7 linked regions of the Ovis aries genome follow. The protein of the gene in region 4 interacts with the protein of the main gene of each other region in a pairwise test. Links are inferred from orthologs where the notes say so. Each region holds a gene or a part of one and is shown on either strand. Other genes may lie near its edges. The genes, in order: SLC25A46, SAP30BP, PATL1, FHL3, HIPK1, DCDC2B and GCM2.

Evidence for each region.
Region 1: the proteins of FHL3 (region 4) and SLC25A46 interact in binary tests that used the Homo sapiens proteins (3 or more experiments, as listed by UniProt). The two-hybrid records come from large-scale screens. The link is inferred for Ovis aries from reciprocal best matches to the Homo sapiens genes FHL3 and SLC25A46.
Region 2: the proteins of FHL3 (region 4) and SAP30BP interact in binary tests that used the Homo sapiens proteins (3 or more experiments, as listed by UniProt). The two-hybrid records come from large-scale screens. The link is inferred for Ovis aries from reciprocal best matches to the Homo sapiens genes FHL3 and SAP30BP.
Region 3: the proteins of FHL3 (region 4) and PATL1 interact in binary tests that used the Homo sapiens proteins (3 or more experiments, as listed by UniProt). The two-hybrid records come from large-scale screens. The link is inferred for Ovis aries from reciprocal best matches to the Homo sapiens genes FHL3 and PATL1.
Region 5: the proteins of FHL3 (region 4) and HIPK1 interact in binary tests that used the Homo sapiens proteins (3 or more experiments, as listed by UniProt). The two-hybrid records come from large-scale screens. The link is inferred for Ovis aries from reciprocal best matches to the Homo sapiens genes FHL3 and HIPK1.
Region 6: the proteins of FHL3 (region 4) and DCDC2B interact in binary tests that used the Homo sapiens proteins (3 or more experiments, as listed by UniProt). The two-hybrid records come from large-scale screens. The link is inferred for Ovis aries from reciprocal best matches to the Homo sapiens genes FHL3 and DCDC2B.
Region 7: the proteins of FHL3 (region 4) and GCM2 interact in binary tests that used the Homo sapiens proteins (3 or more experiments, as listed by UniProt). The link is inferred for Ovis aries from reciprocal best matches to the Homo sapiens genes FHL3 and GCM2.

Annotation. Positions count from the first base shown.
Region 1 is NC_056058.1:107,227,401-107,231,792, reverse strand, and holds the start of SLC25A46 (mitochondrial outer membrane protein SLC25A46), read right to left. Parts: upstream 2,997-4,392; 5' UTR 2,874-2,996; coding exon 2,606-2,873; intron 1-2,605. UniProt on the Homo sapiens protein: Transmembrane protein of the mitochondrial outer membrane that controls mitochondrial organization.
Region 2 is NC_056064.1:55,229,087-55,232,864, reverse strand, and holds part of SAP30BP (SAP30-binding protein), read left to right. Parts: intron 1-1,238; coding exon 1,239-1,327; intron 1,328-3,360; coding exon 3,361-3,452; intron 3,453-3,778. UniProt on the Homo sapiens protein: Plays a role in transcriptional repression by promoting histone deacetylase activity, leading to deacetylation of histone H3.
Region 3 is NC_056068.1:81,414,026-81,417,803, forward strand, and holds part of PATL1 (protein PAT1 homolog 1), read right to left. Parts: intron 3,254-3,778; coding exon 3,156-3,253; intron 2,706-3,155; coding exon 2,646-2,705; intron 1,624-2,645; coding exon 1,475-1,623; intron 265-1,474; coding exon 105-264; intron 1-104. UniProt on the Homo sapiens protein: RNA-binding protein involved in deadenylation-dependent decapping of mRNAs, leading to the degradation of mRNAs. Acts as a scaffold protein that connects deadenylation and decapping machinery.
Region 4 is NC_056054.1:12,739,564-12,742,392, reverse strand, and holds the end of FHL3 (four and a half LIM domains protein 3), read left to right. Parts: coding exon 1-36; intron 37-848; coding exon 849-1,018; intron 1,019-1,132; coding exon 1,133-1,609; 3' UTR 1,610-2,187; downstream 2,188-2,829. UniProt on the Homo sapiens protein: Recruited by SOX15 to FOXK1 promoters where it acts as a transcriptional coactivator of FOXK1.
Region 5 is NC_056054.1:91,246,947-91,251,437, forward strand, and holds the start of HIPK1 (homeodomain-interacting protein kinase 1), read left to right. Parts: upstream 1-1,547; 5' UTR 1,548-1,572; intron 1,573-1,606; coding exon of another isoform or gene 1,607-1,983; intron 1,984-3,007; 5' UTR 3,008-3,079; intron 3,080-4,491. Other genes in the region: basic proline-rich protein-like, read right to left, coding at 1,095-1,547, 1,607-1,983.
Region 6 is NC_056055.1:235,318,339-235,322,805, reverse strand, and holds the start of DCDC2B (doublecortin domain-containing protein 2B), read left to right. Parts: upstream 1-1,530; 5' UTR 1,531-1,541; coding exon 1,542-1,807; intron 1,808-2,707; coding exon 2,708-2,759; intron 2,760-3,190; coding exon 3,191-3,267; intron 3,268-3,511; coding exon 3,512-3,643; intron 3,644-3,951; coding exon 3,952-4,098; intron 4,099-4,202; coding exon 4,203-4,242; intron 4,243-4,467. Other genes in the region: IQCC (IQ domain-containing protein C), read left to right, coding at 1-750.
Region 7 is NC_056073.1:44,530,202-44,534,567, reverse strand, and holds the start of GCM2 (chorion-specific transcription factor GCMb), read right to left. Parts: upstream 2,884-4,366; coding exon 2,794-2,883; intron 1-2,793. UniProt on the Homo sapiens protein: Transcription factor that binds specific sequences on gene promoters and activate their transcription. Through the regulation of gene transcription, may play a role in parathyroid gland development.

The sequences.
Region 1 (4,392 bases), on a different chromosome or scaffold from region 4:
TCCAATTTTAAAATGCTGGCAACTATTTTAAAAAGGATTAAAATTTCATGTAGACCAAATCCAACATGTTTGTAGGTAAATGCCAAGAGCTACTAGTTTTCAACTTCCAACTAATTTTTTTTTCTAGTGAGGACTCTGACTGATAACTTTCATCAACCATACCTCCTGTATTGTAATCAGTCATTCACTGTGACTGGTGGAAAGTATCTGTGTTACACCAACAGTTGCAAGCAAAACATCCCATGAATATAATTAAGTTGAAAGAGCACTTAGGGTAGCTGAAATGGGGAAAAGAGGCTCTCTTCTCAAGTTTTAAAGACTTTGATGTGTTGTTCTTTAGTTGCTAAGTCGTGTCCCACTCTCTTGTGACCCCGATGACTGTAGCCCACCAGGCTCCTCTGTCCATGGGATTTTCCAGGCAATACTGGAGTGGGTTGCCATTTTCCTCCAGAATAGTTTGATAGTAGCTGCTTAATTCCTGGAGAAGGATATGGCAACCTACTCCAGTACTCTCGCCTGAAAAGTCCCAGGGACAGAGGCCACTTGACACCCTGTAGCCCATGGGTTGCAAAGAGTCGGACTTGACTGAGTGACTGAACACGCAGCTAAATCAGGTCTCTGTGATACACTACTGCGCACATATGTGCTGCTGCTCATGGCACAGTTAGAGTCTGATCAGGAGGGTTTACAGCTGGGTTTACAGTCAAAAGAGAAAATAAATTTTTCCCTAACTGAAAAACTTAAAATCATAAAGATGAAATATCAAACCCCAAGAGACTAGACATTAAATTTCAGCTAAAATATTCACAAGGGATTTTTCTCCCATTCTGTTTTCACTCCCCTCTTCTCCAATCCCTCCCTCTCATCTCTGCTCTTTCTAATGAAGTGATGCCCTCACTATTCCCTGAGAGGCAGAACAAGACCATGTAAACAATCTCTGGGGAAACCACCATTGCCTTGAAAAATGTACAAGGGCAGAGGCTTCTTTTGCCCAATTAAGATACTTTCCTCCTTTCATCTTTTCCCTTTGTGTTTGTACAGGTCATCCAACAAACGAACAAAAAAATACCACTGACATTCTCTGGAAGGTGTCAGGAAGGCTTACTAGTATTAACTAAGTCTCCCAGGCTTCTATCCTCTTTGCAGAGTTTTTCATCAGCTTCTTAACTGCTGCAAAACACTCCATACAAAACCCTGGATATTAAGATCTCATTATAACCATCAGCGCATAAATTATGAAAAGATAAAACGTCAGCTTTACTGCCTGAGAAGGTAACTGTGAGGCAATCACATGCATTCTGAATAATTTATAACTTTCCAGTACTCCTTCTGAGACCTATGGGAAAAAAACAGAACTAGACAGAGTAAAAACCTAACTGTACACATAACACTGAGTAAGTCACTGATCCTCCATCCATCCTCACTGGATGACGGTACGATCTGTTCCTCCCCGTAACCCAAATAAATGTTACTGTACTTCCTAGTCGAAGAAACGGGGCTAAAATGTATGTCTACAATGTACATCATACTTAAGGATGTGATCTATTATTCTAACACTTTTAGACGGGAACATGCAGCAGCCATTATCTCCATTTTATGACTCCAGACGATGTTGAAAATATCTACATCACATAGGGTTGCAATTAAAACATCTGTCTTCTGACAAGGAGGCCTGGCGTGCTGCAGTCTATGGGGTCGCAGACTCTGACACGACTGAGTGACTGAACTGAACCGATCTTCTGACATTGCACAGAATAATTATGTCTTGATTCCAAATTCTTATCTTGAAAATGTCTTCAGTGTTTTTCATTCTTTAGTGGAGTTTTTAAGTAAAAAAAAAAAAGAGAGGAGGTGGGAAAACATAGTAGTGGTTTGGGATCTAGAACACAAACACAACTCCTATGATTACATGGAAAAAAGACCGACTTTTAGCCTACTGTGTGGTCCACACTGTTTCAGGCATTACTGACACCTCATTCTGTTTGTAGGGTTTTTTTTTTTTTTAACAAAACCCTGAATTATTCTTCTATACACCTTAAAGATGAGGACAGTAAGAGAACACAAAGATAAGAAAGTCTCAGCTTTTAAGAGTGGTAGAGAAAGCTCTGAGCCCAAGACTGCCTATGGTCTCGGAGAAAGTTCTTTGCACAGCGCAAAGCCACCACTGATCAATGGAATGAAGGTGATACAGCGGACGGTCAATCAGCTATTTCTCATGTGAGTCCTCATAAACAGCAAACCAGTCTCCTTTGTGGATTCAGGGCATGCGAGGTAGCATCCCGAAACCTTCCGTGATCGCTGCCACGCCAAGGCTACGGCAAGCCTCTCCAGAAACCACTGGAGTAGGGAGAGGGCGGAGGCCTGCTCCGGGGGCAGAGGGCGAAAGGAGCGCCAAGGGGCGGCGCGGCGGGTCGCGCCTCCGTGGTCTGCGGGCGCCTGGCCTCCGATCACTCTCCCCGCCCCTCCAGCGCCCGGGGTCCCTCCCTGCGGCTCCGCGCGGACCACCCCGCCAGCCCTCCGAGGCCTCCAGGCCCTCCCCGCCGCCCCGCAGGCCCTCCCCGCCTTCCCTCCGGCGCCCGCCCCTGCACGCCGCCCAGGCCCTCACCGCCGCTGCGCCCCGCGCCGCCGGGGCAGGGCCCCTCCGCCGGGCCCTCGGGCGGCGTGCAGGGGGCGGGCGCGCCGCGGGGCGGGCTCTCCTCGGCCCAGTGCAGGTTGCGGCTCCCCGGGATGTCTGGGGGAGAGGTCACCCAGCGGCTCAGGTCCGACGCGGAGCTGAAGGACCTCGCCGGAAAGGCGCCGCCGAAGCCCGGCTCGTCCCGGGCCCCACCCCGGTAGCCCAAGCCGTCGAACCCGTCCGGGCGCCGCGGATGCATCGCGCACAGGGGCAGGATAAGGCCAGCCCGCCCCGGAGCCCGCCGCCACCCGGGCCACACAGCCTCTCCTCAGCGGCCGCGGCGCCCGGGCAGCCTGACACCCGGAAGTCACGCCGCCAGCCCGGACGTGCAGGGAGCACGTGACCCTACCGCTTCCTGCGGCCGCGGGAGGCGCGGTTGCTAAGGAAACGCGGCGGCACACGGAGCGGCGGCCCGCGGGAAGGATGCCGGGAGGTGGGAGGATGCCGGGAAATGGGAGGAGCTAGGGGTTTGGAGGGAGGCCTCTGATCGGGCGAGAGGAGCCTTCAGCTAGAGGACGCGCGGTTGGGCGTCTCACCCGGAAGTGCCTCGCCGCACACAGGGGCCCGAGGTCTATATTTCTCTCGCGAATGCCCCGCCAGCCACGAAGGCGCTCTTGGAGGTTCCAGTTGCCGGTGTCCAAAGGTCACACCTGGCTTTCCCTCCGGTACTTGGCGCTCCGACTGAAATCTACTGAGATGCCTCGTTCGGCCCAGTGAACCCGAAGTCTGTGGAAGGCTGGAGCAAGCCTTAGAAATGAAGGTCGCGGGAGAAAGCTCCTCGTTCCTGCCCTCCTGGCTCCACCCCAAAATACAAACCGTTCTCCAGGACTTAGGAATTAAGCATCTTCCTTTTCTAAGGCCACAGAACGACTTCGAATAGTTACTGTAGTTTTGTTTTTTTTATTTTGCCTCGTGCTTCTCAAGTCAGGGGCATATTTAAATCCCAAGCGATACTGTTCAAAACCGACACCTAGTTGAAAATTAAGAGGACTTCTAAAAGAGTCATCTACTACCTGTTTTTATTAGCTCCATGGGCTGTTTTGGCAGCATGTGTCTCCTTAGGTCTCAACGAGCCCAGCATGGGTTCTTCCTCGGTCCTTTCTTCCCCCGGCCGCCCAGGATTCTGAGGGCTTTCAGAGAACTCTGACGCACTATTCTCAGTCTTCCACGAGCGAACCTTTCTTTTTTTTTTTTTTTTTCAGAGTAATCATCAGCTTCGTCTTGAGTGGACTGACATTCTTGAGTTGTAATGTGGCTGGGAAAATGTATTCTTTTCCTTAGTAAGTGTATTCAGTATTATTCCAACGCTAGTACCTAATTACTGGATATCTAATATCCAGTTAGTTACTGAACGTAATAAAGATATATCTGTGTTCCTTAAGAATGATGGCTCAAGATTGGGATTGGCTCAGGTCCAAAACTTATTGTTTATTAAAAGGAAGAGAAAAAGTCCTCTCTGTGTGTGTACATATATATACTTGTCATATAAAAACAAGGGCATCTCACAACTTCACATCTATGTCACTGGAGAAAGGATGGCTTATTAAAAGGAGGATAACTGGGTAGCCGCTTGAGAGGAAGAAACAACAGCCTCACCTCACAACCTACTGTTATATGAATTCCAGCTGTAATATATTGCCTTTTTTTTTTTTTTTTAGCTTTTGAAGATTGAATATTGAAAGAATACTTGGTGAATATTTTTCAGATAGTGGATTGGA
Region 2 (3,778 bases), on a different chromosome or scaffold from region 4:
CAACCGCAGTGTGTGCAGGCTCATTTGGCAGCAGCTGAGAAGTGAAGCTCAAAGCAGAAATCAAAGCACCTTATCTGCTAAGAAAATATTAATCCAGCCCCGGGGAAGAAGGGACAGGCTCACCCGGCCATCCACTGGCAGTCCAGGCGGCCGCTTGGGGGCTGAGAGAGTCCCGCCAGGGCCGGCACATGTCGGGTACCCAGTGAGTACTTGCTGGGTGTTAGTGGTGCTGGGTGGTTCATTCTTTGCCTTCATCCTGCCCCACCCTGCTCCGCCTGCTGTTTGCTCATTGTATAGTCCTTTTCATGAGCGAACGTCTTAAAAAGCACAGACAGAGTCTTACAACAAGTAGCATATTGTCTGGGTGATCCAGAGCACGACTCTGCAGTTGCCAGAGTGGCCGGAGGCAGCAGGGAGGGGAATGGAGGGAGAGAGAAACTTGGGTGGGCAGGGGCACATCGCCAAGGGAATTGTCCCTTGGGAGCTGTGGGTCTTCACTGCAGAATCAGGCCTTTTGTTCCCAGGAGTGAAGTGGACCGAGTGAGGGTTGATTGGTTTACTGCTGAAGGACCCAAAGCTAATAACCAGCAGGTCATTTTGTATTGAATAGATGTCATTTATGTACAAAGCAGTTTTGAATGCTGAGTCCCGAATCCCAGGGAACCCTGAGCTTGTGGTGGACCCTGGGTAGCAGAGCCTGAGGTGGGGGGACAGCACCAAGCAGCTCTGAGTTCCCGGGATCCTGGGAGGGTGTGGCAGGGGCAGAGCCCGTGGGAGGCACAGCCGTGTGTGCATGTCTTCCCAGCCCTGAGCTCATGACTTCACACTGGTAGCTTGAAATTGATTGGCCGTGACGGGAGAATTTACACCAGAGAAAGGGGCAGATGCTGCGGGTCGTGGGTCTGCCTCTCCCACTTCCCAGCTGGTGTTAAACACTCACCAGCACCCCCAGGACACAGTCTTTCCTCTGGGCCCGGCTGTGATGTGGCCGCTCATGACCTCTGCCTGAACTTCTTTCCCCACTGCACCTACCGGTTCCTTCAGGTCATTTAAGTTCAACTCAGATGCACCCTCCGAGAGCCACTCCGCATGCCCTGTTTTACTATTTTATAGTGTGTGATCTCTCCTTGAAAATGCTTTCTGTGCCTTTCCTGTCTTGAAGGGTTTTTTATTGTCCATGTCGGGCCCCCACCCTGACCCTCCCGCGCACCCACAGAACTCCTCTGTTCTCTCCACAGCCTCCTTTTCTGAAAGAGTCCGGAACATGTCACCTGATGAGATCAAGATCCCTCCGGAACCCCCCGGCCGGTGCTCAAACCACTTACAGGTACGCACACGCTCAGCTGCTGAGGCCCGTGCAGACTGGGCAGGTGTCTGGCTGGGTCTGACTTTAAGTGGCTTCTGGAAAAGAAACAGCCCAAGTGGGAAGGAGCCTGCAGTCCTGGTGACCTCGCTTAGGCCGCTCCTAGGAGCCGGCGCCCTAGCCCCGGCTGCCTCTGCAGCCTCAGCCGGGCCCCTGCCTGCCCCGGGACACTGCCAGCAGAGCAAACAACATGCCTTTTCTGGGCATCCCTGAGCTCAGGGAATGTCTCTGAAGGAACTTGGCTAAGAACCTGAGGGGTCATCAGAATGTTCAGGAAACAAGTAGGAATGCAAATGCATAGCATGTGAATGCGTACACTTCAACCCTCGTTTTCCTGAAATGGCAGTTCATGGGCTTCTTGTCTGATGATCCCTGACTTGCGGAGATGGAGTGTGGAGTGCGGTCACCTCGGGAGCAGGCCCACAGGGAACAGCTGGCCTTACTCCTCCCTGTCAGCCTCAGTGGCGGTTTCTCCTTGTCCCTCTGCGTGTTCCCCTTTGAAGGGGACCTTACAGTAGGGCAGACACCCATGGCTGCCCCCAAGTGGGGCCTCTGGCTACACAGCAAGCCCTCGCACATGCCGACTGAGGGGTGACTAACGGGGCCTGGGGCTGGAATGCGGCCACCTGGGTGGGTGCCGAGCGGGGCAGGGCTGCAGCACACAGTCCCTTCTCTTCCTGGAAATCCGTTCCCTTTGCTGAGTCGTCTCCCCATCACCACCACATAGCACCCCACCCCCGGCCCCATGTCGCTCACACTCCAGGCAGCAAGCCGCAGCCTGTAAGGACAGTCCAGCAGCCACCAGGCAGAGATAGCCAGCCCCAGCCTTCAAGATCAAAATGTTTCTCCTTTTTAGATCCTGCTAGTGGCAGAAACCATGAGCAAAGGTTTTAGTTCCCCTGAGGTAGAAGAACCAGCCTGACAGCCGAGGGCACACAGAGAAGTCATCTGTAAGATACAGCGGTGCCTCCACCTGCTGAGCCTCCCGGGAAGGCCTGCCTCCATCACCCACAGAGCGAGGACATGGAGGCATGCGCTCGGCTTCTCTCTTCCTGGCAAGCGTGTTACAGACCTCTCTCCCCAGCTCAGTGCTTTCCCTGGGCAGTCTTGACTCCTGACAGGAGTGAGTCACCTTTCCTAATGTTCCAGAGGACCTCGCTCAGGCGAGCCACCCCTCCCGCCCCCCGCCCACCTCCTCTTGCAGGTGAAGAGCACTCCAAGTGGTTTCCTCCTGGACAGTCTGTGTTTAGCTGCCACTAGTAGGGGAGGCTGCCGAGAGACCCTGCCCTGGGCTAGCGCCAGCCTCGCTGGGTAAGCCTGCCCCTCCTCAGAGGTAGCCCTGCCCTGAGGCTCGGGTTCCTGGGGCCTCTTCAACTCCCTGGGCAGCCCTGACGCCATCTGTTGCCAGCATCATCTCTGTGGGCCTGGGGACACCTGTTACACTGGCCTGGACCCCGCCAGGTGGTTCTCTGGTTTCCCATTGAGCCAGAGCAGGGCTTGGCTCTTGACCCCCAGCAATGCCTCTTGGTAAAGTGGCAAGGACCGGCCAGCAGTGAGCCTCCCCTCAGAGGACACTGGGGAGGCTTGTGACACCTCTCCTCCTGCCTTCCCAGGTCTCCTGCTGGGTCTGACTAACCCCGTGTTAAAATTAAAATCCAGCATTCAGCCCCCACCTGTCAACACTAACTCTTGAAACTCCTCTTCAGATGATTCAGCAGCTGATTCCCAAGTGAGGGTTTGTTCACTGTCTTCGCCATGGCTTCTCTAGCTCCACCTTCTTATTCCTCCCACTGCTGACCACCGAGAGGGGATCAGGAGAAAGCACAGCGAAAGCAGGCTGGTCTCCATCTGTCTCGTCTGCGCTGGGTGGATGAAGACCGTCTGGCCGGAGCAGGGCTTCACTCAGCTCCTCCAGGTCCTCGTGTCCACAGCACGTGACCACAGGCTGGGATTGCAAGAGGTTCCGTCACCATCGTCTTTCTGTCTCCCTTCCGTAGGACAAGATCCAGAAGCTGTATGAGCGGAAGATAAAGGAGGGGATGGACATGAACTACATTATCCAGAGGAAGAAGGAATTTCGGAATCCTAGGTGAGTTTTCCATGAGCCAGCAGGGGGGCGGTGGGAGGAGTGATGTTGGACTGGGGACAAGAATGCCTCCAGAGAGGTGCAGGGAGAAGCCCGGCTCAGATCCCAGCTGAGCCCAGAGAGACCATCACCCAGACTGCGTTAACCTCACTGAGGCTTCGTCTGCCATTGAAGAGCCAGGCAGCAGGTGCAGAGGGGAAGCCGCGAGACGTGGGCTGGGTGGGGCCTGCCTGGGCTCTCATTCCCTCTCTCCTCCTGGAGAGCATGACCTGAGGCCTTAGTGTCCTCAGCTGTACGAGGAGGGGATTGTCTGGATGGTCACCCCAGGT
Region 3 (3,778 bases), on a different chromosome or scaffold from region 4:
GTAAAAGAACACAAAAGGGAAAAGGGGGGAAAATAAGTTTGGCTTCTGGAAATCTTATCCACTGTGAAGACCCAAGGGAAAGAGGACCCCACATGGCGGGTCACCTCATCCTGCGCATCCTTCTTGATGAGGAAAGGCAGGTTCCTGGCTGTTGTCATGAGAATGTCCGCTGCTTGCTCTGTGGAGAGGAAAGGCAGGACCCGGGCCACCATCCTCTTCCCCTTTCGGATGCACATGATCTGCACAAAGTGGTCGTCACTCGGGCTGCGGGGAAGAAAAGGCCAGCTCGGGTCAGCAACAGCAACGCAGAAACCCCCTTTCTCCTCCTCCATGTTGCCAGATGAACACACTGCATTCGTGTGCACCCTGCAATGATCTGCACTACAAAACAGTGAGAATTACTTTACCAACTCTCAACAAATAATAAAAAGTAAATTCTTTGAGTTTCATGAATATTGAAAATCATTTCAAAAATTGTACATTAAAAAAACTAATCTAACCATAGGCACTGATTTCCTTTATTAACTTTCAAGTAACGACACAAATGACATGGTTAAAACAGCAAAATCTGAAATATACATGTATTAATAATATTCATAATCTCAGAGATAATTCACTAGTGCTATCATTTTGAAGGCATTTTTGCTGTGTATTATATATTTTTATCTTTCATTTTTAAAAAAGGGGGATCCATATAATTTATATGGCTTGTTACTTTTTTCACTCAAAAACTTATAAACACTTTTCCATGGCAATACATAATACTTTACAGATTTTACTGGCTACGTAACAGTCCAATCTACGGAGAAACCCAGATTTATTCAACCAAGCTCCCTGTCAGTCCAACTCCAGAAAAGATGTGCTAAAAAGAAGGTCCTTTTCAAAAAGAATCATCAATTCTCTTGAATGGGCAAAGACAAAGGGAGCATCCTCTTGCATTCATCAAATAAATACTGTGATTTCTGGAACATTTACCATTAGCAAGATTCTATTCCAGATACTGGGTGGGAGAGAGATGACAGAGAGACAGAGAAATTATACTAAGAAGCTTAGTCTTCACTGGAAGACTGACTGGCTTCCACAGCAAATAAGAATTGTATGGCAATCCCAGGAAAGCATGAATGTTTACACTTTCCATCTTAGTAGGAAAGAAAATACATAAAGATTACACGGTTGAACATTAGTAAGCATAAACTAGATACAATCTATAAGCTCAACAAAAGAAACTAAATGTTTCCCACTGTCTCCAGCGTCCAGCACTGTTCCTAATAGGTATTGAAGAGGTACTTGCTAAATGAATGAATTCAAGATACATAGATTTCCACCCCCTCCCCCACCCCAGGCTCAAAAGGATTCTAAAATGTTTTCTATGGAGTGAGCTTACTGAAATGGTAAGGAAGGGTAAAGGCAGGATATATAAAGCTCAAAGGAATCCAGCGAGACTAATGTTCTCACCAAAGGACACAATTCTCACCTCTCCTGTCCAGGCAATTTCCCCCTTAAGTTGTCGTACATGCAACAAATTTTGTGCTTTCTTTCATCCATCAGGGCAGGTCGCTCTTCTTCCAGACTTAGGAGGTAACGCCTTTCGTAATCCTCCACATCAAGCAGTAAACTGTAGGTCTAAGGGAGAGACAAAGCGGGCCTCAGCAAACTCAGCGTGAGGTGCACAACGTGGCCGTCCAGGACTAGCAGACAACAACGTAAGAGTGGAAGCTCACAGAAGAGTGAGAGGAAAAACCTGCTCGCTTAAACCCAGAGAAACACTGTCAAACAACTCAGGAAGAAGACACCCTTCAGGAATCGCTCCCTGCCCCTTCTTGACCACTAATCCAGCAGGCGATGGTAGTGACACGATTATCCACTTCCCAAAGTTTCCAGCAGCAGCCCTGTTAGTAACGTGAGCAATGCACGCCACCGCGTCCCGTGATGCCTCTATCTGTGAAAACGAAACAGCTAGCGACTATAGGGTGCCAGGCCCCGCTCTAAGCACCGTGCCAATACTCACTCATGGAATACTCACCACAGCCCAGTGAGAGGAGACTCTCACCACTTTCATTCTCAAAGATTAAAAAACCAAAGACGGCACAGAAAGGTTAAATGACTTGCCTCAAGTCACAGACTTGGTGAGAAATGATTTGGAGCCTGTTCTCAGAGTCTGTGCTCTTAACGCCTATACTCTATGCCCCACAACATGGTGTTTTATGGTTCAACACTAACTGCCTACTACTGATTTTCCTTAGAACCCAGGACAGTGCCCAACACCCAGGGAATGGTCAATAAACATACGGGAACTGACTGAACAGACAATCCATTCACAGGCAGAACAGTGTAATTTTTCTCTTCATTTTCTTAGAAAGATGCCCTGCCCTAAAACACTCAGCCACTAACTGAACAAGCCTGGACAAAACCCCAGGACTTCTGATTGTAACTACAGTGCTCTTTCCACGAGGCCACAGGCGAGGTAAACCACACTCCTTTCCAGCATGCCCTGTACACAACAGGCACTTTGCACAAACATGTACATCAGTTAAAATCGCAGGACACTGGCCGACTGTTTACTTCCCCACGTGTCGCGTACACACACATTTCACAGTCTGCTAAGCTGAAACCAACTACAGCACCTTTGGCAATTCTAAACTTACTTTCTCAATTATGAAAAGGGTTTTTCGTCTTTTGTCCCGAACCTGTTTTTCTTTTGTCTCCTAAAAAAAAAGAAAAGACTTTTCAATATGAACTCTTTAACCATGTTAAGAATTATTTACTGCTGGTAAATTCCATAGGTAATTCTATTTGTGACAGTACTGTGGGGATTAATAATCAGGCAGAAGTAATGGGGGCAAAGGTCACAGAGCTGACTGAAGGGCCCACACATGAACTAGTAACTAAGTTCACAGAGGAGCAAAAGGTACTGGAGAATGCAATGGAAAATGAAGATACCATAGGAAAATCTTAAGCACACAGAAAATGATAGTTTTAAAAGCTGGAACAAACAGCTAATGCTGTTTGTGGCCAGGGTTACCTGGCAGGAGCCAGTTCAAAGGCTCCTGCCACCCCAGGTTCTGCCTGGCTGCCTTAGGATCCCAACCCAGGGACCGTCAAAGAAGCAGTGCTGACCCAGACTTCCTTAAACACACAATTCTGTGGCTACTTACATCATCCTCACTCCGAGACGTCACAACAGCATCAATCATTTTTCGGGGATTATTCACACTAGAGACAGTGAGCTTTCCCAAAGAGCCCTCAAACTGCACTGCAAGGACAAAAAGTTGCCAACAAGTAAAAACCCAGCAACACAGGCAGACAGCATTCAACGAAGATCATCACAGTCTCTCTTTTCTGGCCCCACTGCATGGCCTGCTGTTGTTTAGTTGCTGAGTCGTGTCCGACTCTTTGTGGCCCCATGGACTGCAGCCCGCCAGGCTCCTCTGTCCGTGCGATTTCCCAAACAAGAATACTGAAGCAGGTTGCCACTTTTTTCTCCAGGGGATCTTCCTGACCCAGGGATTGAACCTGCGTCTCCTCTGTCCCTTGCACGGTAGGTGGGTTCTCTGCTGCTGAGCCTCCAGGGAAGCCCCGCTGTGTTCCATGCGGGGACTTTAGTTCCCCTGACCAGGGATGGAACTCAAGCCCCCTGCAGTGGAAGCACAGTCTTAACCACTAGACTGCCAGGAGGTCCTATGTTCTCTAGTCTTTACTCCAGACCTAAAAATTCACTACAAAAATCCATGTATTATCGAAGGCAATCTCTTATCAAAAGATATCCTTTTCCATTTTT
Region 4 (2,829 bases):
CGCAGTGCTCCGCCTGCGGGGAGACCGTCATGCCCGGTATGTTCCCAGGGGCTCCCGGGGGCTCGCTGTGCGTGGGACTGGCATGCCTGGCATCTGTGTAGCATCCGTGCATGTGCGTGGGACTGGCATGCCTGTCTGAGGCTTGATAAAGAACTGCCCATGCCACAGGTTCCTGGAAATTGTGTGCAGGATCTGTTGTGCCTGTTTGCTCTTTGGAGCTTAGCACGTGCAAGGACTGACACGCATGACACACACCTGGGGAAATAACACATTTGGCACACATAGTGTACTGAGACTGTCAGTGTTTGTTGCCTTGGGGCTTGTGTGCAAAGACAGAAAAGACAGATACATAGAGGACTTAACACGTGTGGCGACCTGCATGGCTGATAGAATGTGAGGATTTAGAACATGGAGATAGGCATGATGAGGATATGGCCGGGCTTCCTATGTACTGAATCTATCATGTCCTAGACGTTAGACTCGCTTGCCTCGTAGATGGGGTCTCTGTGTGTGTGCTCACACTATCACATCTGGTGTATAAGGGCTTGCTTAGCATACACTGAGTCATCGCGCCCATCACCTGGAGGCCTGGTAGCAGCTGAGGTCATCATATTCTGGGACATGTGAGGACTTCACTTAGGCCAAACCCTCAGGTCACATGCTCAGCCAGCATGTCTGGTGTTGGGGGAAAGTTAGCATGTGCAACATACGAGGTGGGGACCCTGGTGAAAATGCATGGACACCACCTTCAAGGCTGCGGGAGCAGCAGGGACCCTCCTGGAGGGTAGCAGAGGGTGGCACTCAGGAGCTTGGGACACAGCCTCTGACGGGACCCCTGTCCCCCACAGGGTCCCGGAAGCTGGAGTATGGAGGCCAGACGTGGCATGAACACTGCTTCCTGTGCAGCGGCTGTGAGCAGCCGCTGGGCTCCCGTTCCTTTGTGCCCGACAAAGGCGCTCACTACTGCGTGCCCTGCTATGAGAACAAGTTTGCTCCTCGCTGCGCCCGCTGCAGCAAGGTGGGGGCGGCGTGGAGCTCCACTGCACTCAGGGGAGGGGGTGAGCAAGGCTCTGTTGTTGCGGGGTGGGAATCCCCACGCCTCCCCCTCTGCTGACAGAGGCTGCCCCCACAGACGCTGACACAGGGTGGCGTGACATACCGTGACCAGCCCTGGCATCGAGAATGCCTGGTCTGCACTGGGTGCCAGACGCCCCTGGCAGGGCAGCAGTTCACCTCCCGAGAGGACGATCCCTACTGTGTGACCTGTTTTGGAGAACTCTTTGCACCCAAGTGCAGCAGCTGCAAGCGCCCCATCACAGGTGGGTCAGGGGGTCCAAAGACCGAATGGGTCGGGTGTAGGCGGAGGCGGGGGGGGGCAGGGGATCTGGTCTCCATGAGGCCAAGGGACAGGACCGCCCTCCAGACGGCAGCACTAATCCTCAGCCTCCCTCCAGGACTCGGTGGAGGCAAGTATGTGTCCTTCGAAGACCGCCACTGGCACCACAGCTGCTTCTCCTGCGCCCGCTGCTCCACCTCCCTGGTGGGTCAGGGCTTCGTGCCGGATGGAGACCAAGTGCTGTGCCAGGGCTGCAGCCAGGCAGGGCCCTGAGCCAGGGCTCCGGGACTAAGGCTTCTCCTCCAGACCGCCTCTGGGACCCAGCCTTTCCCCAGTTTGGGGCTCCCCTTGGGTTCCAGGATTCAGCCTCCCCACTCCAGCGTCCTCAATCTGGTACTTCCTGACCCAGGGCCCCCAAACTTGGGCTCTCCCGGAGCCTTCATCATTCAAACCCCCTCCTCAAATCTGAACTCCAGAACTCTGTCCTCTCCCTTTGGGTCGGGCTTGCTTCCCAGACCAAGCCCTTTCTCCAAATCAGGGCTCTGGGACCCAATCCCCCTTCAATGTAGACTTGTCTACAAAGACTTTAGGTCTCCTTTGGGTGCCTGAGAGGTCCTCAAAAGTCAAATATACTCAGGCTTGACGCTCCCCACCCCTGTCCCACTGGGATCCCCAAGGATGGGGCTGTCTGGGCAGCACTGGTTAGGGGGTCCTAGGGTACAGGTTTTTGCCCATCCCGTGTTGTGTTTTCTCTTTTCATTTCAGCTCCATTTTGCCCAGAGATGGGCAGAGGGGTGGGTTTGGCTTGCCCCCGTTTCAGATTCTGCAATAAAGCAGTATGAGAAAGTGAAGGCCTCTGTTTGGCTGGGGGTAGGGGGAGCGGGCGGAGGTGGGTGGAGGGGCAAGGAAGGTTCCTTCGCCATAGCTAGGGAATTCGGAGGCTCTTCCCACCTCCTCCCCGCAGGACAGAAGGAAGCTTCCAGGCGGGGTGGGAAATCTCTCCAGAGAAAGGGGATCCCCGCCGCCGCTACCGTCCCTCTCTGGTTTAGCCGGCCTCCCTTCCACCTCCCCCGCCTGCTGGCAAAGGGCTTTTTCCTCCAGTGAGGAAGGGAGGGATTTAGGGAGTTTGCGGACCGGAGCCGGCGCGGGGGCGGCTGGTGTTGGGTTCTCCGTCAGGTACAAGTCACTCCCCTCCCTTAACAGCCCCCCACGAACCCCACGGAGCATCCAGTGCGAATCCCGAGTCTGGGCCCAGACCCTCAGCCCCCTTCCCCCTCTTTCCTAGGATTAGCGGAGGCGGCCCGGGATCCGCTCGCGGCTGCACGTTTTTTGCCAAAAAAGGCAAGGACGCAGCTGCACGCGCCGCGGGAACATCTGGATCCGATTCCCGGCATGAATGGGTCATGGCCCCGCCCCACCGTGATTCAAGGGCGGGGGCGGGAATGAGCCCGGGGGTGGGGGGTTGGGGGGCTGTCCCCCAAAATGAGGCGATG
Region 5 (4,491 bases), about 79 Mb from region 4:
GTCAGACATGACTTAGGGACTGAAAAATAACAACAAACAAAACCCAAAGAGGTAAAATGACTGGGACCTGAGGAATGTAACCTGATAGTATAATCTTGTTTTAGCTGTATCTGCCCTCTCCTTAGAGTGCCAGCATTCTAAGTCACTTGAGTCGTGTCCAGCTCTTTACCACCCTTGATAGCCCACAAAGCTCCTCTCTCCTCCAGTATTCTCCAGGCAAGTATAATGGAGTGGGTTGCCATGCCCTCCTCTAGGGGATCTTCCTGATGCAGGGATGGAACCCACATCTCTTATATCTCCTGCATTAACAAGTGGATTCTTTACCACTAGCGCCATCTGGGAAGCCCCCTTAAAGAGTATATGCAAGTAAATACCATAGGTCTGTACAATCACTTTCTAGGGCTCAGATCCTTGCTGCCTCCAGAACTTGTAGGAAGGAAAAAAATAAACTGTCTGCCTAAAAATGTCCCACACTTTAGGAATCAGAGCATTTTACACACCAAGAGGTATATCTGAAGACTTTCAGAATCTCTTGGCCAAGGGAGATGGCAACTGTCTTTCTTTTAGGATAACCTAGTTTTCAGGCAGTGTTTATTTTTTCCAGAACGTTGCATTCCTTTTCCTGAACACCCGGTTTTACTATCTCCTGGTAGAGGAGAGAAAATTATGGTAGTATGAGCTCACTGAAGCGCTTGAGGGGTAGGGTTCAGAGTACAGCTATTCTTTCTCACCTCCTGTTGCAAACCCAGCTTCCCTAGGAGGGAATGGAAGAGCCCCCTGAGGGGGCCGTAATGGGCGTGGAGGCTCACAGATCCCGTACACCTCTGCCAAGCAGCTAGAACGTCTCTAGATAGCGAGGAAACATTAAAGCCTAAACTTGGGTCATTCCTCCCCAGCTGTCTCCCCGCGCGCTGCTCAATCTCTGGAGGTGTCACACTAGGCGGTGGTGATGTCACACTAGCGGGGATGACATTTTAAACCTGGACCTCACACCGACACTAGGCACCTTTAAGTCACCTCGGTGTTGGCCGTGCGGAGGGGGCGGGGAGATGGCCCCAGCACTCGATCCACACTGGCTCCCCACGGAGGTCCACTCACTCCCACTTCCACTCCCACCCGTAATATGAGGTCGTCGTAATCCTCCCGCTCTCCCGGACTTCCGCCTCAGTAGGTGTCATGGCGCGGGACCCGGGACTAGTTCCCGTGAGGCGGGGCGGGCCGGATGAGGGCGGACGCTCGGCGCTCAGCTTGTCGGGTCTGGCGACAACCGCGGCTGCGGAGCTAGGGGCCCGGCGGTGGCCCCGGACAGCAGCGGGAGGCCGAGGAGGGAGCGCGCGGGTCTGAGGCGGCGGCGGCGGCGGAGAGGGGCCGGGCGGTGGAGCGGGCGGGAGGCTGAGAAGGCTCCCCTCGCGGGACGGGCGCGGGGACGGCTCCGGGGGGCGGGGGCCGGGGCCCGGGCCGGCTCGCGCAGGGGGTATGATGACCCGGCGGCGGGGCCCCGGATCTCGTCTCCTCCGCCGCCTCCTCACGGCAGCCCCAGCTCGCGGCTGAGAACCAGAAGACACACCGGCGGTGAGTCGAGGCGGGAGAGCGGGCGGGCAGGGGCCTCGGCGGGGAGCGATCTCCTATCGGGTCCCCGAGGCGGGGCCAGGCTGGCCGCGGGCTCTCCGGGGCGCCCGGCCTTGCGGGGGGCGCCTCCCTCGGCAGCCCCCACCCGGGACCCGGCGCCAAGCCCTGCGGCCCGGCCGCGGAGGGGATGGCGTTCCCAAGAAAGTGGGGAGGCTGTGGGCTTCTTTTCGGGGCAACTCCTCCTGCGTCCTGCCACTTCTCTCCTGGGCGTGTTGTCCTCAGATGACAGGGGGCCGCCTGGCGTCTCCTCACCCGGCCGGTTTTTCCTCGGGTGTCGTGGCCGGTTCCCACTGTATGGCTTGCGCGTGTGAATTTCACAGCTCTGCTTAGCGCCTTGGTTTGGGGCTATCTGTGCTGCTGGGGACAAGGAAGCGGTGTCTGAACGGACGGCGGCGGTGGGGTGGGTGTGGAAGCCCTCCTATCCTCTCCGCTTGTGTTCTTTAATCGTTAGCTTGGTAAATCGTGATGATGGTGGAGACTCCGTGGGACCGGCCAACCTAAATGTATATCTGTGTTAGGTAGATCTAGAAGTCTGGCTCAAAGGGAAACTTTTGCTGTTTGTCGCCACTTTGCCAAAGCTTTCGTTAAAAAAAAAAAAAAAAGTCTCGGGGGTGGGGTGGGAGGAAACCACCAAAACTCTTGGGTGAGCCTCCGCGCCCCAGTCCCCCACCCCCACCCCCGCCCCGGTGTTCACAGGTCTGTGGGAAAGAGGCCGTTTTTGTGCCTAGCAACCGAGACCTGGGACTCAGTCTCCAAGAGCACTGGTCTAACCTCCAGTTTGTTGTGGTGACAAACCGTGAGGTTTGGCCTGTGTTTACGCTGGGCGCGCTTTCTTTCCTGTTTAGGTGGGGGAAGGGAGGAGGGGCTAGAGAAGGGGGGAAAAAACAGCCCCAAGCTCGAGTGTGTCTTTTCTCCAATTAAACCATTGATTATGTTGCAGATTCTCTTTTTTGAGGCAGCTCTAGGTGCTTTTTTCCTTTGGGAATTTTCAGTCACTGTATCAAATTATTAATTTCAGCTATAGACTCTTCTGCCCAATCCTTCCTTTATCTTATTTGTTTCCTAGTAACTGATGAAAACAGCAGCATGGCTTCCTGCTCCTGATGAAATGGGGTTAAATTAAGTGGCTGATGCCCTCAGCAAAACCTACAATTTTGCTCTTGTTTGTGTAAAGCTATTTTTGATTCCTGGTCTGTAGTGTAGTTTTTTTTAAGATTATAGAGAATGCAAATCATTACCAGCTCTTTTTCATATGTAGGTCTAAAGCTTTCTGTAAAACATCTAAAAAATATACTAACAGGTCATTTTATATAGTTGTTGTTAATGCAGCTGGTGATTTTGGAGATACATGTAATAATCTCGGGGTTCTGTGTTGTAGAACTGGTATGATGGTGTGAAGAAGGATATCATTGACTTTAAGACACTGTTCCCTGGCTTGAAGAATATTTTGGTAAGGTACTTGTGGTTGCAACTGGAGGCAGTCAGGCTAGTAAAGCATTTTACCAGTAAAATGGTGAATGAGATCTTGTAAATATACTGACTCTGGTTAATAATAAGACTTTCGCTGGCGATATCTTTATTCTATCTGGACACTGTAGTTTTATGGATTGCAGAATAAGTTGATTGGTAACTTGAGATTGAAAACCAAACCAGAACTTTCTACTAACAGGGGGGAAAAAAAAAAAAAGATAATCTCAACATCCACAATTCTCTGGAAAATAGAATTCTTTTTTTCTGTGGTTTGGTTTTCATAAGCACAGCTTAGTCATTGGTTCTGTTGGTAGAAATCAGTGAGCCAAACCTGCCTTATGAACTTCTTACACTTGGAACTTGGGCAACTTGTTAGTTATATATTGTAACTGGTTCTTCTGTAATTTGAGGTAATTTTGCAAACATGAACTTCCTGATTGGCCCTTTTATTTTCATGACTGTATAAAGCAATCCATAATTTTTAAAGTTACAGTTATTAATTCCTCCCCAGTGTCTTCCCTTAAATGTAATGCCATTCTGAACAGAAGTCATCAAAATAATTTTTCTTTCAAGTACCACTTCAACAGTCATTGATTTGCTTTTTGGTTCCTTTTTTGTTTTTATTTTTTGTTTCCAATCTCCCAGCTCCCTAAATACCTTATGTATTTTTGTAAAGCATAATTTGACACTTAAAAAAATTTTTACATCCTGTTTTTATATTTTTCTTTTTTATGTGTCACACTAACTAAGCAACATTTTAAGTTCTTTGGAGACAGGGAAACTTGGGTGCATTTCTTTTGGCTTCTTTAAGGATGCCTGGGACAATGCTTTCCCACCATACTTAATGAAAAAGAATCAGAAAACCTGAATTTTTTGACAGCATTACTGTTAATTAGCTCTGGGTAAAACTTGTGTGGCTTTCTTGGGTCTACTTTTTCTCTAGGGCATTTTAGAAAGGGTCTTTTAAGCTCTATTTTAGCTGCAAGAATCCCTGTACTTTTTTTTTGCCAGTGTCTTCTCCAGTCAAATACTCTAAACAGCTTTTCATTTTTCCATATCCCCTGGAATACTTTCTCAAGTTAGCTCTTTCATCTGTAAGACCTTCATCTGCCTTCCATCTGTCAGACTGTTGTTACCTTACTTGAGTCCTATTTTCCTTAGGCCCTTTCTGGCTAAAGGTCCTCTCTTAGTGTTCGTGTTTCATATTGGTCTATGCTTTGTTAATTTGCCGTTTTTCTTATGATAGAAACTGAGGTATAGTTTTCTTTACTGTTAACTTTATAGATATTATAGACTGTCCTGTGCACATACTAGGATAGTACCATTTTACCAAACACCAGAAAAGCCTACTTTTCTTTTGTTCTGTTGCTTTAGGTTTGTCATTCCAAATAA
Region 6 (4,467 bases), on a different chromosome or scaffold from region 4:
AGCTGTGAAAAAGCTAGATCACAACCAGGCCCACCGCTGGAAGACCAGCCCTACAGAGGCAGGACCCTTGGAGAGCCAGGCCATGTGGATGCCTCCTACTGGAGGCTCAGATCACAACCCCACAAATTCCCAGAAAGACTGGCCACTCCAGATAAAACAGCTGCTGGGGCCAAGTACAGGGACCCATCCTACAGATGGCCTGGGCCACAGCTGCCCGCACCATCGGAATACCAGGCCACAGGGAAGAGGCTCACCAAAGAGCAGGACTGTGGAGAAGAGATCTCTGGAGAGACCTGCCTGCAGCTGACAACACTTCTAGAGGATGAAAGCCACAAAGAGCTCAAATCTAAGGGCTCCTGTCCTGGAAAGGCCAGGACACAGCTGTCCACACTCCATGAGGACCCAAACATTGAAGACAGCTCTCCCAGGGGGCCATGCCAGAAAGAGCCTGATTGGCAAAGAGCTGTGCCACGAGAGTTGGGCGTCTCAGAGGACCATGTCACCTGGGATGGGTCTTTGGCAGAGCATGGTGGCCTGGATCTCTGGAAGAATAAACCACCCAAGGGCCAGATCCCCAGTGATAAAAGCTCCATAGATAGAACCTCCAGTGAATCTAGCGATGAAGGATGGCAAAACCAGAGGACTGTACCATGTAGGTCAAGGCCCCCTGAGAAACTGTCCACAGGGTCAGACCACACAAGAGAGGATCACTGGAGGGGCAGACAGTGGGAAACAGGACCAGCAGGCTAGACCCTGGGGAACCAGGGAGGACCGGGTTCCAAAGGGCGATGCTATGAAAGGGCAGTGAGGGAGACAGGACCTCATCCTAGCTCCCTGGTTCCAGTTGTACCTCCTGCCCCTGCCCCTGGGTATTGGTGGCTAGTGAGGCCAAGAGAAGCTGGAGCACAGAGCTGGCATCAGTAGAGGAAGAAGGTAGGAGGCTACTTTCATCCTCTGCCTGTGGTTCAACCCACATTTGGGGATAGGGAGCAACCTGGGGCAAGTCAAGTTGGAGAATAAAGGTTGAGAATAAATAAAGATGGAGAATAAAGGTTTTCATTAGATTCTGAGCCTGGTTGTATTTGTCTTCTGCCCCTGGTCAGGACAAGCTTCTGGGACCTCCTGTTCACTTTCTGCTGACATGGGGCATCCTCTCCAGAGCTGGCTGAGAGCCACAGCCCAGGAGCAGACTAGCATCCTTGGGGAACAGCCCCCCAGTGCTGTTGGGCTACAGTGGCGGGGAGGCTCTGAGAATCCCTGCCCCGACCCAGTACTGAACACCTGTGTTTCAGTGTGATCTCTGCCACTGCCCCTCTCACTGAGCCCTGGCTCTTCCTTCATACCTCATGACCAGACCCACCCTACTCCTGTGAGGCCCCACCAAGAGCAGACCGGAGACCCTGAATGCAGACAGGTGCTCCTACGGAGGCTCTCCCTGCCTTCCTGGGTAAAAAGGCAGGACTCCACCTCTGATTGGCATTGCTCCCAACCCTGTCTTAGCTGCCTGGCAACAGCTCTGCGTCTCTAGCCACAGACACACAATGGCCAGTGGCAGTCCAGCAGCCAAGAAGGTAGTGGTGTACCGGAATGGGGACCCCTTCTCCCCAGGCCGCCAGCTGGTGGTGACTCAACGCCGCTTCCCCACCCTGGAGACCTTCCTCTGTGAGGTGACATCGGCTGTGCGGGCCCCAGTGGCTGTGCGTGCTCTCTACACCCCTTGTCATGGCCACCCTGTCACCGACCTGGCAGACCTGCAGAACGGAGGGCTGTATGTGGCTGCGGGTTTCGAACATTTCCACAAGCTCCCGTGAGTGGGCTGGGGGTGGTCAAAGAGCCTGGGGAGGGAGGTAATAGCAACAGCAACAGTCAGTACTGACCAAGTAGCTCACTCATGGGACATTAACAGTCCTGTAAGGCGGGTGGTCTTACCCCAGTCTTTGGAAGGGTAAATCAGGATAGTCCTAAGCTGCCTAGGAGTAGACAACACAAGTGGCACCACTGTTCAAGTCAAGAGTCTGACGCTGATGATCATGCCTATCCAGCCAGGACCAAACCATGGGAAGAAGAACATTCTCATGCTAGCTGAGCCCCCTTTTCCAAAGGCTCTTCCTGATGGGATCCTTATCACCCCCATCACCACCACCACCAAATACTCTAAATCCATCCATAGGCATCCCGTGCTCTCCAGTAGGCTGGGATCACCCTTTACAGGGTGTGGCTGTGCTTTCCAAGATGGGAGACTAATTTCAGTGTCTGAGCTTCCAACTCAGATCTGGCTTCCAGGTCTTCCTCCACTCTCAGCTGAGAGGTTGCTCGCTGTAACCTAAGGAGCCAGGAGTTGGGAGCTAGACAGACTTAGAATCTGGGCTTGGTCACTCCCATGTTACTTAGGGAGTCCTTGTTCTGTCTCATACAAAATGAGATGAAACCACATACCCCATGAAGGAGAACATCTCTCTGAGATACAGAAGGATTTAGACCTTTAATTATATGGTTTGTGCCCTGGACTGGATGTGCAGCCTGATACATGCAGGGCCTAAGGCAGGTTCAAGTATCAGCATCTGTTTCTGGACTGAGATGACTTGAGACTGTTTCACTGGGAAGGGAGACCTGGTGAGCTGGGCCCCAGCCCCGCCCTCTGGCAGCTGCTGGGCTGCTGAGTTCCCCCGGCTCCCCAAGATGACCTGTGACCTCTCTGTCCTTTCAGCTATTTACCCCCTGGAGGGAAGGATCCAGGTGGGAAGAGCAGCAGACTGGCAGTGAGTCCTGGGGCAGGCCAGCCCCCAGCCCTCTGTTCTCCCCCTCCTCTGGGACGGCTCCCACTTTGGTCTGGGAGGTCAGGGGCCCCAGAAGCAGCTGGATCTGCGGCTCTCCACACCTACTCTGGAGCCAACTGCTAGCCTTCCCAGGGTGCAGGATTTCAAAATGCTGTTCCCTGCACCTTTTGCAACCTTTTATCTCCAGGCTGTGGTCCTCAGAGGAAAGAGGACGCTATAAAACAGAGGGATGGGAGGGGGTTAAGAATGTGACTTAGGGAGGTACCCTGTGGTAAAAGGTGTGACGGTCCCACCCTCCTTACCCTCTCTTCCGCCCGTCTGGTTCCTTTCCCTCATGCTACCCACCTTAGACTGACCTACCCCTGACCAAAGGCCTCAGTGCGTTCCTGACCTGGGGACCTGATGGGTTTCAGGGTCTTCCCATGACTCGGCAGCTGTGTGATGGGGCCCTTGGACGGCAGCTACCTGCAGGTTCCCCCTGCTACATCCAGTGAGTGCCTGTGTTGGGGAGGCGGGGGCATAGATTTTTGTTTCAGTGAGGCCAAGGAAAAGTAGGTGGATTTGTTCCAGGAGCTCCTGGTGACTGGTAGGGATGGGAAAAGTCCAACATGCTTACTGGGTGAAGGGGGACCCATGCACTGGGTCTGACTGTCTTCTGGCCCCAGTGCCATCCTCCTCTCACATGTAAGGAGTTCTGAGGACCGTTCCCCTTACCAGGCTGCTCTTTGTCCCAGTGTGTTCAGGAATGGGGACCTGTTAAGTCCTCCGTTCAGCCTGAAGCTGTCCCAGGCCGCCAGCAAGGACTGGGAAGCAGTGTTGAAGCTCCTGACGGAGAAGGTGAAATTACAGACCGGGGTTGTGCGCAAGTGAGTCTGGGGACTGCGGAAACCCGAATGTCCCCAAAGGGAGCCGCCCTACTGGTTCTGGCCTTCCTGGAAGATGAAAAGGCCAAAGGAAAGTATGTTTCCCCAAAGGGGACTTCTTTCTGTGCCAGAGGGAAAGGCCCTTCCAACCCAGCCCTTGGAGCCAGGGTGGAGCCTGGGGGACTGGCCCTGGTACCCAGAGGACCAGCAGCTGCCAGGCACCTTGGAAGAACTGTACCCACCCTCTCACAGTCTGCTGAATATCAATCCACCTTGTTCACTGGCCCTTATTGTACTCACCTCTCTCCCAGGCTCTGCACCCTGGATGGGCTCCCACTGTCAGCAAGGGAGGCTCTGATGAGCGGCCATTACTATGTGGCTGTTGGAGAGGATGAGTTCAAGGCCCTCCCCTATCTGGAGCTGCTGGTGTCCAGTCCCTCACTGCCCAGGGGCTGCTGGTATGTATATATGAGGGGGAGAGGAGGCAGGTTAGAGCAAAGGAAGCCACCCTGAGTCCATGTCCTGCTCTGCCCCCTATAAGCCTTCTCTTTTTTCATTGCAGGCATCCCCCAGGTCCAAAGTCCAGGCCCCACAAGCAGGTGGTAGGTGACCCAGGGTGTTGTTGGGGGGCGGGAAAGAAGGAAGTGACTAGCTTCCCACTGAGGCTCTGACCTTATTGTACTGTATACTCTCAATAATTTTGTGAAATAAAGATTGCTATTCCCATTTTCTAGAGGACAGGCTGAAGTTCAGAGGAGTGGTGTGATTTGTTCAGGGTAACACAGATACTGAGCAGCCAGACCAGGACCAGGTCTGAAAGTCAGCTT
Region 7 (4,366 bases), on a different chromosome or scaffold from region 4:
AGCAAGCTTTTAATCTTCTCCAAGCATATCAGGATGAAAACTGAGTCTTTTTAATTCCAGAAATACTGTAAAACCCAGAAGCTGCGCTCTTACAAAATGTCACTCATTGTGTGTGTGTCCCCTTCTGACAACTGGCTATAAACTGATGCTTCTATACCACTTCCTACAAAAATGGTACAGGTATTAGTTTTAGCTTTCACACTGCCCACAGACAATAGGCGCAATATTGTCCCTATTTAACTGAATAGTAAACGGAGGCCAGAGAGCTTCATCGACTTGCCCAAAGTCACACAGCTAGTAAGATCTGGCTGTAGGATTTGAGCCCACACAGTTTGACTCCAGAGCCTGTCCTCCTTACCACCAGGTTATACCACTTCTTGGTGTATTCACATGTTACAAATATTTTTAAGGTAAGTATTAAAGTGCCAGGGCAGAAAGTGGTTAGAAAGTTCTTCACTGATATACACTTGAGCCTGTATCTTTTCTTCCATCCAGTGGTTTTTCTTCCAAAGCTCTTGGCTTGATACCCAGTACAACATGAGAGAGACAAGAACAGCTTCCCAAAGTAGCCTTCCAGGTTTGCATGTATACGTGCTGAGTCACTCAGCCGTGTCCAACTCTTTGCCACCCCATGGACTGTAGCCCCCAGGCTCCTCTGTCCATGGGATTCTCCAGGCAAGAATACTAGAGTGGATGGCCATACCCTCCTCCAGGGGACCTTCCCTACCCAGGGACTGAACCTGCGTCTCTCTCTAATGTCTCCTGCACCAGCAGGCAGGTTCTTTACCTCTACTGCCACCTGGGAAGCCCAGCCTTCCAGGTTTACAAGGGTATTATGATGACAGCCTGGATATAAGGTAAACCCGAGCACTTGGTGGAGCCTGCTAGGTCCTGGTCCTCTCTCCAGAGCAATATGGATTGTCATTCTCCTACACAAAGAGCTGCCTGGCTAGAATAATGTGATATCTAAAAGAATGAACACCGCTTTCCTATTCATGTTTGGTGGTCCTTGTCCATATTATGCATTATTTATACTGCGATGTCTTTCTTGTTATAAGTTTAATATAAAATTACCCTTTCCTGCACACTCAACTATTTACCAGCTACTCTTTATGGCAGGGGTCTGCAAACTAGGGACCATGTGCCTAATTCAGCCTCCCACTTGTTTTAGTACAGCTCACAAACTAAGAATGATTTTGACATTTTTTAATGATTGAGGGGACAAATCAAAAGAATTATATGTTGTGACACGTGAAAAGTCACACGAAATCCAAATTTTGCTATCCACGATGAAGTGGTATTAGAACACGGCCATGTACATTTGTCTACGTTTGGTCTGTTTTCACACTATAGTGTCCTAAACATGCACAGGATGAGAGTTTAAGACCGTTATCTAATTCCACTGCTTAATGACAAGTGAGTGACCCTAGACGAAGGCAAATTCAGGATGTCACAATGTGACAAATTCAATGTCACACTGTGAGTGTAGCCCTTTCTCCTTGGGTTAGCCGGAGCAGGACCCTCGTTCTCCAACCCAGAGCACCTGCCTCTTTAGAGACGGCACACTCACTCTGTTTAAGGACTAATCTCTCAGAGGATAAGTTCTTCACATTTACATGGGAAGTCTAGAAAATGCTTGTGAGGGAACCCATCCTTCCCTTATTTGGATATGGCTCTTTTCTAAAATACAAGAACAGATTCCCCCCAGCCCCCGTGGGGATTTACACGGACAGAGGTCAGTGGGAAGGAGATGCCGCAGCTGTACTGTGGTCCACTTTCACAGAATGGTGCAGTGTGACCCTAAAGTAGGCAGGCTTGAAAACAAACAGATTTCCATGAATGTGTACCCCAAAGTACTTATCTCTTTGAGAGGCTACCCAACGTTGCTAATGAATTGCTGTCCACCTGAACAGCTGTATGGCACATAATAGATGCTGAATAAAGGTCAAGTCTCTCTCACCCCTTGTACCAGGGCATTGCCAGAAGTCCACCTCTGCAAATGTTTCCAGGTCATTCCTAATTCTCCTTCCACCTCCACCCAGGACTTTAAAGTCACTCTGCAGTTTTTGCTCCCAACCACTGTGACCAAGCATAATGGCCCAGCCCATTCTGGGGACTTGGCTTGAGACACCTTCTTTCTGTTAAAAACTAAAACAAATTCGCCCTAAATTCACCCTAAACAGATGACACTGATTTCCTCCTCACTAGAGAAGTAAGCTCAGAAGTTGTGTCCAAAACCTGGATTCCAGAGGCTGTCTGGGCGCCTGCGACCTGGTTAGCGCGACTGCAAAGCCCCTCAAGAGCCACGCTTCATCCTAGCAGCCAGGATAAATGGCCCAAGTCCTGCTGTTTAAGATTCGGTCGCTGCAATTTATGGTCCTATCTCAGTTCCGCTGCGTGAGAAGAGGTGGCATCTGCATTCACCAAGATGCCCCTCCACCTTTCTAGTGGATGTCGAAGAATGGACAAGCAAGAGTCAGCGGATTCCTACCTCAGTTAAAAGAAAGTGGGGGACGCGGTGTCAGGCTCCCGGCGGCCAGACGACCTGAAACGTGGAGCCTAATTGACGGTTCCTGCTGCTTTCTGTGTTTTCAAAAGGGTTCGAGGAAACAGGTGGGAGAAGACAATCTCTAGCCCCAGCTCCGCCATTTGTGGAGTCCCTGCACATTGGCGGGCTCTCAGGGATGTGTTTTTTTGGAGGGAGGAGGAGGGTAGGGCGGCCTGTCCACAGGCTCTGCCAAGACATCCCTCCTCTTTGGAGGGAGAGCGGCTCGCGCAGCGGGTTTCACGCACCTGCGGCATCTGCGGGTCGTTGATGTCCCAGCTGAGCTTCATCCCGTAGGACCACGCGCAGTCCGCCAGCTGCCCCTCCGCCGCCGGCATCCGGTTCTCCTCGCGGGCGCTCCCTGCCAAGTGTCCTGAAAGACACAAGAAAAACAAACCAACCTAGAGCAGCCCAAGGTTGTTTTCCCGCTGTTTTAAAAGCAAGTGGAGAGAGAGACAGACAGAGAGGCCGATTTAGAAATGCAGAAGCGGCGGACAAGGGCTCGGGGCGGTTCGGGTGGAGCCCTGTTCTTGGTGGCAGTGCTGAAAAGTCTCCACCTGGAGCACAGCGCGGGCGCCAGGCAGCTGCCTGCTCGTTTATAAAGGTGCTCCCCCCACCCCCGCCCCGCGGCCCCGCGCGCTGTGCTCCGCCTTTCCTCGCTCCCCGCCCGCCCGCTCCCACCCTCCAGGGACCTGCAGGGCCGGTTCCCCACTTCCAGGCAGGGCGAGGGACGGAGGGGAGGTGGACCTGAGGACTCAAGGTGACGGGAAACTGAAGCCTAGACGGGCCAGAGTCGGGGGAGGTTGAAATGTCTAGTTAAAGTTGAAACTCATGTTCATTTTCCTAACTGCGCCCCACCTCTGGGGTTTCCTACTGGATCTAGAGAGAGGCTTTTGAGACAGAACCTTTCCAGCAAAATGCCCAAGAGGTAATACTCAGTCCCCAGGCAGTTCGGGAACCACCTCTAAACGCCTGGGCGGCCGCGCGCCCTTGTCCGAGAAGATGCGCGCCTACTAGCTTTGGGGCGCGTTCTTTTCGGGGATTTTGTTCCGGCTGATGTTGCTGTTCAGTCGCTCAGTCGTGTCCGACTCCCTGAGACCCCATGGACTGCAGCATGCCAGGCTTCCCTATCCTTCACCATCTCCCAGAGCTTGCTCAAACATGTCCACTGAGTCGGTGGTGCCATCCAGCCATCTCGTCCTCTGTCGTCCCCTTCTTCTCCGGCCTCTGAGTCTTTTCTAATGAGTCAGTTCTTCGCATCAGGTAGGAAGGGGGAAGGGGAAGGAGGGGGGGAACTCTGCGGCCCCCAAGCGCCCCAAACCTGTATTTTCTCTGCCGCCTTGGCTACTTCTGAGCCTGTTTTCTTTCTGCTAGGAAAAGGATCTGAGGCTCGGAGATTTCTCAGTCGCCATCCACATGAAACGACCCTTTTAAAAAATAGTATTTTTTTTTCCTCCCTAACCGCGTGGAAATCGTCGTGGAAATATCACAACAAAATCGTATTTACACCCATTGCGTCTGCAGAGGCTCTGGAGACTGGAAGAACCAGGTGAGCGCATAGGGCGCTGTGGGCTTCCCAGGGCTGAGACCAAGCTTTCTTTAGCTGTGCGCCCACTTCCTTAGGGTGATTGGAAGGGCCCAATACAAGGAACCAATGGAAGGGGTTTAAGTTGCTCTGTGGCCGCCACGGTCAGCGAGGGAGGGTGGGTTTCCAGAATTCACTCCCTGCGCCTTTGTTCTTGGGGATGGCACGTTTCTGCTACCAGCATAGCCAGACAGAAGTGACCTGTTAGTTGCTCTGCCGCTGCTGCTAAGCCGCTT